Linked DNA regions of Schizosaccharomyces pombe. The protein of the gene in region 1 interacts with the protein of each later gene in a pairwise test. Each region holds a gene or a part of one and is shown in the gene's direction. Other genes may lie near its edges.

Region 1 (6,939 bases):
ATATAGTGAAACTTTAACGTGCCGAAAACACTAAAAGTTATGCATCGAAATCTGAATTTGCCGACGTTATACGAAACATGCTCGGAAGGGTTTTGTCACATCGCGCACTATGACTAAGATTCGAAATTTTTCCACATCTATAAATGTTGCATAAATTTTTTACTTGTAGTATAATTAGAAGAAATGGAAGAATCATAGAAAAAAAGGTTAAAAACGTTGCCATTTTACGTTTTATAGAGTAGGAGCTTTAACTTCTATAAGCCATTCGTTCTCTGCACCACGATAGCTATAAGTTTTTAGCTATTGTAGTGCTACTAAAGATAGCCAATTGTGTTCAAACTTTTAAAAGTACTGCGTAAACAAAACAACAGCTTTTTGCTGTGAACGGCATACCCAATAATTATTTACTAGATTTACAGTACAACAAATACAGATGATGTTTAGCAAGAGATTTTGAATATATCTTTTACAAAACATCATGCTAACAAACTCTTCAAAGAATATTATTTGGAATTAATTTTACCGGCTTCGCATCTAAAATTGATGGGATCTGCCTTCAATATAGAAAATTCTTCATTCACGGAGAAAACGCAAATAAGTATTTTGTTCATAAAATTAAAAAAAAAAAAAAAAAAAAAAATTTGTGTTTCTAATAAATTCTTAAAGCATTATTATAAATTACATTCGTAAAATAAAAAATAAATAAATAAAAAATTAATAATATCATTACTATTGCGTCGAAGGTGATAAAACATATAGCATAAAGCTTAAAATCTAATGACTGAGTTAGCATTATATTTATCATCTAAAGGAAGCAGTATAGCGGTTAAATCATTCAGCTAATGAGACTATTAGTCGTTGAAATATGGTGTAGCTTTGCAAGCCAAATTTTCCATGAAAGAAGAAAATTTTTTATTGAGTTTTGCCGTTTACCCCTTGATTTCTGCTTCCATCCTAATAATCCGTATTCTTAGCTTTGTAATGCTGTGCGTTTTATTTCTATTTTCATGAACGGAGTTTTTAACGTAACGTTACCACCGGAAATTGCGGTTAACAGTAATCAAGTAGACAAAAATTTGTAATTAGGTTTAATTCAGTTTATGCAAATGTAAATCTAACTTCTATTATTTTCCTAAGGTGCTTAATTAAATTAAAGGTAAAAATAATTTGCTTTAGTAAAATATATAATTCAATCTTCATGTGATGAAATGCCTTTAGATTTGAAAACTGAAGATATTGGCTTTCTTCTGGGTTATAATCTCGCTAACAAAATAACGTTAACCTTACTCAAGTTAGATTAAAGTTGTCCCAATTGCAAAACCCTAACGATACCGTAACAACGCTAGATTAGTATTTGATATACGTTTTTACATTCCTTTCCTTATTTTGTATACATTGAGAAAAAAATAATGTATTCCACAAATATATTCGTACAGAAAAAATTTAAGTAACTCTAGTATGGTAGGCACATTATTGAATGAGCTGCATTTGTCGATAGCTTGCGATGTTATACCGTAATCTGATTGTTAATCCATCCCTATTCCTATTTTTATACTGACGGTTTGAATCCGAACTGACATACCAACATACGGTAGTTACGAAAAACCTGAGTTTACTCTTACTTCAACGTAATGTTTTTTTCTGAAATTGAACTATCAAAGGGTCGTGCTTGTAAATTTTTGAATTTTTTTATTATCTATCTTAACGTTTGATATTAAACTTTTGGAGGGGAGAATTTAGTAGCGCTCTTTGAAATATGCTTTTTGCAATCAGCAAAATATGCAAACATAAATTTATACATACACACAAGTACTCTAAAAATGTTTGTATAATTCATGCCTTTTTTGTTAGCTGTTCAATTTGTTCATATAAAAGTAACAGTAGCTCGTGTCCTAATATTGATGCTGAATGTCTACTATACCCCGATTGTTTATTACAGGTATTGTGCCACTATGTTTTCCCGACAGAGGACTATCAAAATTTTAAACCGGGCAGTCGGTAATTGGAAAAAATGGAGTCTGAAGTTGCATTACTTACTTGCTCATATACAAAAATAAAAGAAGTGCTTGTGCCATTATATTTGGGAATTTGCAGCTCATCACAACTTCATGCTAGTGTTTACAGATCTTATTTTTCTCGCTATCTTTGCTCATATTGGGAAGGCTACTGCAAAAGTATGGAACAGAAATGTACAAGGATTTCTTGATTTAAACTTGCCAAATGAATGTTCACAATACACAACAATTTACAGTGACGGCCCTAGTGAATATACTTCAACGTTGCCATACACGCACTCCTTTAGCAACGCAAGTGTATATACTACCTTAATTACTATAACAAACAGTCAATGCACCGGAAACTACTCAACATTGACAATATCATCACAACCTTTAATACATACTAATACTTCCATTTCCAAGCCTTCGCAAACAGCTACACCACAAAACACTAATACCACACAAGTCTCCTTAACCAATGGAACGACAACCAACAGTTATTCTAACACAAACTCCCTGCCAATTACAGATACTATCAATGGAACTACTGAATTAATTATTCCAACAACTAGCTACAACAACCAAAGCCATACTCTTATTTACAGTACCTACACCTCCACCTACCTCCCCAATTCTACAATTGACTTATCTATTCTACCACACTCAACAATAAGCACTCTAAGTACAGTCTCCATAAATGATACTAGCGCGTCATTGTCAAAAACAACTTCACCCACTGCTGGAACTATTACTGAGACGATTGTTTCTGGTTCTGTTGGATATACTTCCACGTTTCCTGCTAGTGGAACTACCTCTGGCACTGTAGAGGTGGTTGAACCCACTGCTGGAACTATCACTGAGACTATTGTTTCTGGTTCTGTTGGATATACTTCGACATTCCCAGCTAATGGAACTACCTCTGGTACCGTGGAAGTAGTTGAACCCACTGCTGGAACTATCACTGAGACTATTGTTTCTGGTTCTGTTGGATATACTTCGACATTCCCAGCTAATGGAACTACCTCTGGTACCGTGGAAGTAGTTGAACCCACTGCTGGAACTATCACTGAGACTATTGTTTCTGGTTCTGTTGGATATACTTCGACATTCCCAGCTAATGGAACTACCTCTGGCACTGTAGAGGTGGTTGAACCCACTGCTGGAACTGTTACTGAGACCATTGTTTCTGGTTCTGTTGGATATACTTCCACGTTCCCTGCTAGTGGAACTACCTCTGGCACTGTAGAGGTGGTTGAACCCACTGCTGGAACTATCACTGAGACCATAGTGTCAGGTTCTAAAGCATTTACTTCCACATTCCCAGCTAATGGAACTACCTCTGGTACCGTGGAAGTAGTCGAACCCACTGCTGGAACTATTACAAAGACCATTGTTTCTGGTTCTAAAACTTTTACTTCCACATTCCCAGCTAATGGAACTACCTCTGGTACCGTGGAAGTAGTTGAACCCACTGCTGGAACTATTACAGAGACCATTGTTTCTGGTTCTGTTGGATATACTTCGACATTCCCAGCTAATGGAACTACCTCTGGTACCGTGGAAGTAGTTGAACCCACTGCTGGAACTATTACAGAGACCATTGTTTCTGGTTCTAAAACTTTTACTTCCACGTTCCCTGCTAGTGGAACTACCTCTGGCACTGTAGAGGTGGTTGAACCCACTGCTGGAACTATCACTGAGACCATAGTGTCAGGTTCTAAAGCATTTACTTCCACATTCCCAGCTAATGGAACTACCTCTGGTACCGTGGAAGTAGTTGAACCCACTGCTGGAACTATTACAGAGACCATTGTTTCTGGTTCTGTTGGATATACTTCCACGTTCCCTGCTAGTGGAACTACCTCTGGCACTGTAGAGGTGGTTGAACCCACTGCTGGAACTGTTACTGAGACCATTGTTTCTGGTTCTGTTGGATATACTTCCACGTTCCCTGCTAGTGGAACTACCTCTGGCACTGTAGAGGTGGTTGAACCCACTGCTGGAACTGTTACTGAGACCATTGTTTCTGGTTCTGTTGGATATACTTCCACGTTCCCTGCTAGTGGAACTACCTCTGGCACTGTAGAGGTGGTTGAACCCACTGCTGGAACTATCACTGAGACCATAGTGTCAGGTTCTAAAGCATTTACTTCCACATTCCCAGCTAATGGAACTACCTCTGGTACCGTGGAAGTAGTCGAACCCACTGCTGGAACTATTACAGAGACCATTGTTTCTGGTTCTAAAACTTTTACTTCCACATTCCCAGCTAATGGAACTACCTCTGGTACCGTGGAAGTAGTTGAACCCACTGCTGGAACTATTACAGAGACCATTGTTTCTGGTTCTGTTGGATATACTTCCACGTTCCCTGCTAGTGGGACTACCTCTGGCACCGTGGAAGTAGTTGAACCCACTGCGGGAACCGTTACTGAGACTGTTATTTCGGGGTCAGTTTCTTTTATGTCAACGATTACTGCTCATGACACTTCGTCTGGTGCTGTCATAGTTGTTGAACCCACTGCTGGTACCGTCACAGAGACTATTGTTTCCGGATCTATTCCGTTTACCTCGACTATCCCTGCTCAAGGTACGACATCAGGAACTGTTGAGGTGGTTGAACCTACCGCTGGTACCGTTACTGAGACCATAATATCAGGTTCTGTTGGGTATACTTCCACATTCCCTGCTCAAGGTACAACATCAGGAACTGTTGAGGTGGTTGAACCTACCGCTGGTACCGTTACTGAGACCATAATATCAGGTTCTGTTGGGTATACTTCCACATTCCCTGCTCAAGGTACAACATCAGGAACTGTTGAGATTGTTGCACCTACCGCTGGTACCGTCACAGAGACTATTGTTTCCGGATCTATTCCGTTTACCTCGACTATCCCTGCTCAAGGTACGACATCAGGAACTGTTGAGGTGGTTGAACCTACCGCTGGTACCGTTACTGAGACTATAATATCAGGTTCTGTTGGGTATACTTCCACATTCCCTGCTCAAGGTACAACATCAGGAACTGTTGAGATTGTTGCACCTACCGCTGGTACCGTCACAGAGACTATTGTTTCCGGATCTATTCCGTTTACCTCGACTATCCCTGCTCAAGGTACGACATCAGGAACTGTTGAGGTGGTTGAACCTACCGCTGGTACCGTTACTGAGACCATAATATCAGGTTCTGTTGGGTATACTTCCACATTCCCTGCTCAAGGTACAACATCAGGAACTGTTGAGGTGGTTGAACCTACCGCTGGTACCGTCACAGAGACTATTGTTTCCGGATCTATTCCGTTTACCTCGACTATCCCTGCTCAAGGTACGACCTCAGGAACTGTTGAGATCGTAGTACCTACTGCTGGTACGGTAACTTCGACTACGGGTTCTGGTACTTCTTGGTTTACTACTACTGTTCCCGCTACTGGTACGAGATCTGGAAGCGTAATTGTTGTTTCTCCAACTGCTCCTGCTTGTTCTTCTACTCCGTTTGCTGAGTGTCCAAATCTAAATTTTAATTTTCATTCTAAAAATGTGAACTTTCCTCCCGCTGACATTAGGGTAATTAGTGTCACACCGAAGGGTAACAATATGTACGATGCTACAGTTCAGTTCACTACTTCTTCGACTATGTCGAAAAAATCATTGAGTGAATTAAAGATATTGGGATTATCTCAAACCTATCTCTTGTACTCATACAACTCTAAAGTGGACAACATTTCTAATCCTGGCAGCTGGACTTCAACGGTAACTGTTCAAGGTACAAGCACAGGTAGCTATATTTGCATGCCTCATTTCCAAATTCAGTATGATTGGTGTAGTGCTGGTGTTACTGACATGTCTGAATGTAATACATGGAGCTATCAAAAATCCTATGATTATATTACCGGGTGCAATAATTACGATAATCAAGGCAATTCCCAAACGGATGCTTCTGACTATTGTTGGAATGTTTGTTAGTTAGCTTAAGCATGTAAGCATCAATTTGTTCTTCTTTGCTTATAATATGCTACCAATTATAACAGCAGCTTAACTTTGTCACATCATTTTTTTTTGATGGATGTCTGTGTGGTTTACTTAGATTCTATACCACAGTTTTGTAAATTATTTGTTTTTTTGTCTTTTTTCTCGGCAGTTGGTTAAAAACTTAAACTGTTGTATGTTTAACTTGCATATGGATATGTTTTAATCTTAATTTTATTCGTTATGTTATATTTAATACCACGTTTTTCTTTTTTCAAAACGGATTTTATGTAGCTTAACCATTTTCTATTTTTCTTATAATAATATTCACAATCTTTTGCTCAATTGTTAGGCAATGATTTATTTAGTGAAGTTTTGATACAGGACTTACTGCTGTGTGTATACACCATTCATGAACTCTGCTTTTCCGAGCAGTGATTTAATAATAAAAATTTACAAAAAATGGACATTCACAGTTTCTAGATTTGACGTTTCATTCTTTCAAATATCACCCAAATTTTTTGTAAAATGCAAAGTATTTTCCCATTCGCTAGTTAACAATTATTCAATTAAATAAATGACGAATAAGCAGCATATCGGAATGTTCAAATACACTTAGGAATGAAATGAAATAACCGCCAGAGAACTTTTCATGACTTTTATATTAAAAGAGGTTTAAATGTGAGGTTGCTTTCACAAAATATTTGGTATTTCGTTGTATTTAATTACAACTTACCAAACGACATTTAGGAGTCCTTTTCATGAGCCTTCATGATAATAACATTTCCATTTTATCGCGCAATAAAACAATTACCAAATTTAGTTAATTTAAAGAATTAACAATTCATAATCCCATTAATTACTAAATAAAAACTTAGATTCGGGTGTAATATGTACCCCACAGTTGCTCAAAAAGCTTCTTTATACAAATAATATGCAGATTATGAGCTATTTTCGTTCATCTAATTTAATCATA
Region 2 (3,546 bases), 1.8 Mb from region 1:
TTGCAATCGATCCTATTACTGGGAGTATGTGCACAAATAGAAATAAATCTCAAAGACTTGAGTTAAGCCAAGAAGAGAAAGAGCGAGAAGCAGAAAGATTATTCTATTTGTTTCAACGGTAAGTTTGTTTGTTTATTTATTTTTTTTTAAAAAAATACATATATATGTCTCGAGTATATTTGGCTGACGTTGGTAGCTTGGAAAAAAATAGTACTATTCAAGTTACTAATCCTATCCAACAAGCTGTAAATAGCGGCTTGTATGAGAAATTGGATGATAATGATTCTGATTAAAAAAAACTAAAGTATAGACGTTGTCTTTTGTCTTATTTTTCAAATGAGTTCGGAGAGTTTCATATATCATTGTTATCATAGTTTTGTTGGACCTATACATATTTTACTGTTAATGTTTTCCACTTTTAAATTTCATGAAATTCTTCATTTTATCAAAATTAGCAAAGCAAGTTAGTACGTCGTGTATTTTACATTGTCTAGTGAGTTGGTAAACTTCATTTGTATACCGTAAATGTCTATATTTTAACCGTCGGATATTGCAATTCGCATTATGCGGTATGTAATATGTAATGAGTTATTAAACGACATTATTTTTAGTAAGATTTTGATCATGTATTATTCGGTAGGTAAAAGACTTAAAAGAAGACGGCAGAATGGAAAGATGGAAGTAATATCATGATATTCGGCAGTCATTAGGCATAATTTGCAGTTTCCCCATCTTTTCTCATAGTTGTTTATTAGTAATTAATAATAAACTTTGTCAACAATTCAGGAAAGGGTTTGTTTATTGAAAAAAGAGCGATAGCTTCCGTCGTAAATTTTTCATTTGCTTTTCGAATGTAGTGGTTGAATCATGTTATAAACCTCAATATTTATTTTCCTTGCTAGAGAGTTAGCTACTTTTTTCTAAACTAAAGATTAAAACGACAGCTGTACGAAATTGACTTTACGATAATATAGATTTCATTGATATGCGCATGAATAGGAAAACTCATGTTGGGTAAATAATGACGTAGGTTTTTTGTTGTGAAAACTCTCCGTCTCCGCAAATCGTAAGCGACGGGATGTACCCCACAATTTTAAGGATCTTCCAATTGAGTCACTTGTGAAATTTATTGCGTAAATCAAACACTCTACCGTGAGCATTACTGCAATGATGGAAAAAACATCTAATATGAGGTGCGACGATACAGTAGAACGTCCGATTCCTTCAAATATATTTATTATTTGAATATTTAAAAAGTTAACAATCGCAGAAATTTGCGTAACTTAACCCAACAATTGTGTAAAGTAAAGGAATTAACTATTCATATTGCTATGCTTTTAACGTAGATATTGCAGAAGAACAATTTTATGACGAACAAGAGGAAGTCGCATAAGTTTTATAGATTTATGAAATGTTTTCAAGTGCATGAGCAACAATTGCGTGAATGCACAAAATACGTCTTTGCCAATAAAGCGCTCAAATCATAAGATTAGAAAGAAAAATTCTTACGTTATGGTTTATTTACAAATCTAAATGCGTCCTAAAAATTTTATTTTGGTTAGTTGACTACAAAGTAAAAAAAAAAATAAGGTAAAGGAAACGATATACAGTCAATGAAATGAGTATTTTTCTAACTCTACTAGAATGATTATTTTCTAGATCTCTCTAGAAAGATAGCACAGCCTTGCGTACCGAAGTTTATATTTGAATCTGCCTCGGTTGTGGCGCATAAGTGGCAAATTTGGACTTTTCTAGAGCAAGCACTAACGAACATCTAAGTCCACCCAATACAGAGTTTGAGTGTTAGCAAAAGACGCCGTTCCGAAAGTACAAACTCCGGCAAATTCGTGATCTTTCACAACGTTTACGAGAAAATTCGAGTCATCGTACAATATATGACATCCATCCCATTCCGTGCTTCCCAGAAAGGTATAAATAAGGGTACTCCTTCCGCTAGTCCAGCATCGAACAAATACAGATTTGAATTGAATTCATATAATTTCAAGTTACTCGCAATTGTTTAAATTTTAAAAAATGTCTTTGCAACCTTTTTTCGGCTTTCCCCCTACTGTCAACGACTTGTTCTCTGACTTTGTTAGTTACTCCCCTCGTTTGAACAACCAAATTCCTGGGGAGTTGTCTCCTTCGATTGATGTGCATGAGGGTAAAGACACTGTTAGCGTTGATGTAGAACTCCCTGGTGTTAAGAAAGAGGACGTTCAAGTCCATTATGATAGCGGAAAACTTACTATTTCTGGCGAAGTCGTCAATGAGAGAAAGAATGAAAGCACCGAGGGTAACCAACGCTGGTCAGAGCGTCGCTTTGGCTCATTCTCTCGTACCATTACTATTCCAGCCAAGATTGATGCAGATCGCATTGAGGCCAACTTCAGTAATGGCCTATTGACTGTCACCTTGCCCAAGGTCGAGAAGTCCCAAACTAAGAAACAAATTGCTATTAAGTAAAATCGTCTCTTCCGATTTTAATATGATAGTTTCGAAATGGTTATGAGACCAATCTTGTTGGATTGTGAGCATATATTATTGTTTGATTTAACAATCAATCATAACATATGCAATTAATGATCCGCTTGCCATTGGATTGATGAATTTTGATAATGAATTGAACACGGTCTTCTAAACAGTAAAAGAGCATTTAAATTCCACATCAAGCAATTTATGGCCAGCTGTCAGACAGTGTTTTAATGATCTTGACTACCACTTGTTACGATTCTCCAATGATGAGCAAGTGATCTCTAGCAATTTTTCAAAATAAATAAATAAATAAATATTTTTTTATTCCTAATTAGAAAACAAGTTGTTTCAAAATGCTCTATCGTAATATGTGTAGATTTATTTTTATTTTTTTCAAAAAAAAAGAACAGTATTATGTAGCTCCTAATGAATTAACAGGAGTTACATTAGCATATCATAAAGTTGTGTATGCTCTTTGAGTCTTAAATCACCGGGGCAATGAAATCGTCTTCCTTTTGCGGAGATCTGATAATATGCTCTTAACAATTTTTGGTTTTATTAGTGAGCCATAAGGTTTGTTTAAGCGGAAGTTTTGTGATTTCATGTTAGGGACAAGGGCTTCATAGATGTGTTCCTTTCTATTTTTATTCTTTATATTACTAGTTCATTGGTTCATGGACACGCTAACCTAAAAGTAGTTAAATCTCCTTGGCCTTGAGCGAGTGTTTCCATACTACCACTAATCCTTGGGTGATCCAATGTTTCCTATAAAAAAAAGTACACATAAATATATAGCCTAGGGTACCTTTCTTTTTCAGTAATCAACATACAGTTTAAAGTTAAGAATGTTATGGTTTTCGTGTGTGATTAAACCAAATTCTTGTTTGCTATAATATCTAGCTCTACAGTAAAGCCGAAAGCTCTTGTATTGCTATGGCTTTGTAAAACTTAAATTCGGCGAATCTCGTTAATATACACTATTCTATCAACACCAAAACCTAAAGTATTTATTATCAAACAGCTGCGTTTAACGTACATGCTTTTCGATATAACAATCATGACAATTCATAG

Evidence for each region.
Region 2: the proteins of pfl5 (region 1) and hsp16 interact in a two-hybrid assay, tested with the Schizosaccharomyces pombe proteins (one study listed by BioGRID).

The regions. Positions count from the first base shown.
Region 1 is NC_003423.3:4,419,305-4,426,243, forward strand, and holds pfl5 (glycoprotein), read left to right. Parts: upstream 1-2,090; 5' UTR 2,091-2,108; coding exon 2,109-5,960; 3' UTR 5,961-6,304; downstream 6,305-6,939. Other genes in the region: Cu(2+) amine oxidase-like protein Cao2, read right to left, coding at 6,931-6,939.
Region 2 is NC_003423.3:2,659,410-2,662,955, reverse strand, and holds hsp16 (heat shock protein Hsp16), read left to right. Parts: upstream 1-1,963; 5' UTR 1,964-2,034; coding exon 2,035-2,466; 3' UTR 2,467-2,817; downstream 2,818-3,546. Other genes in the region: ric8 (synembryn ric8-like protein), read left to right, coding at 1-118, 197-259, 306-468; SPOM_SPBC3E7.17 (uncharacterized protein), read right to left, coding at 978-1,160.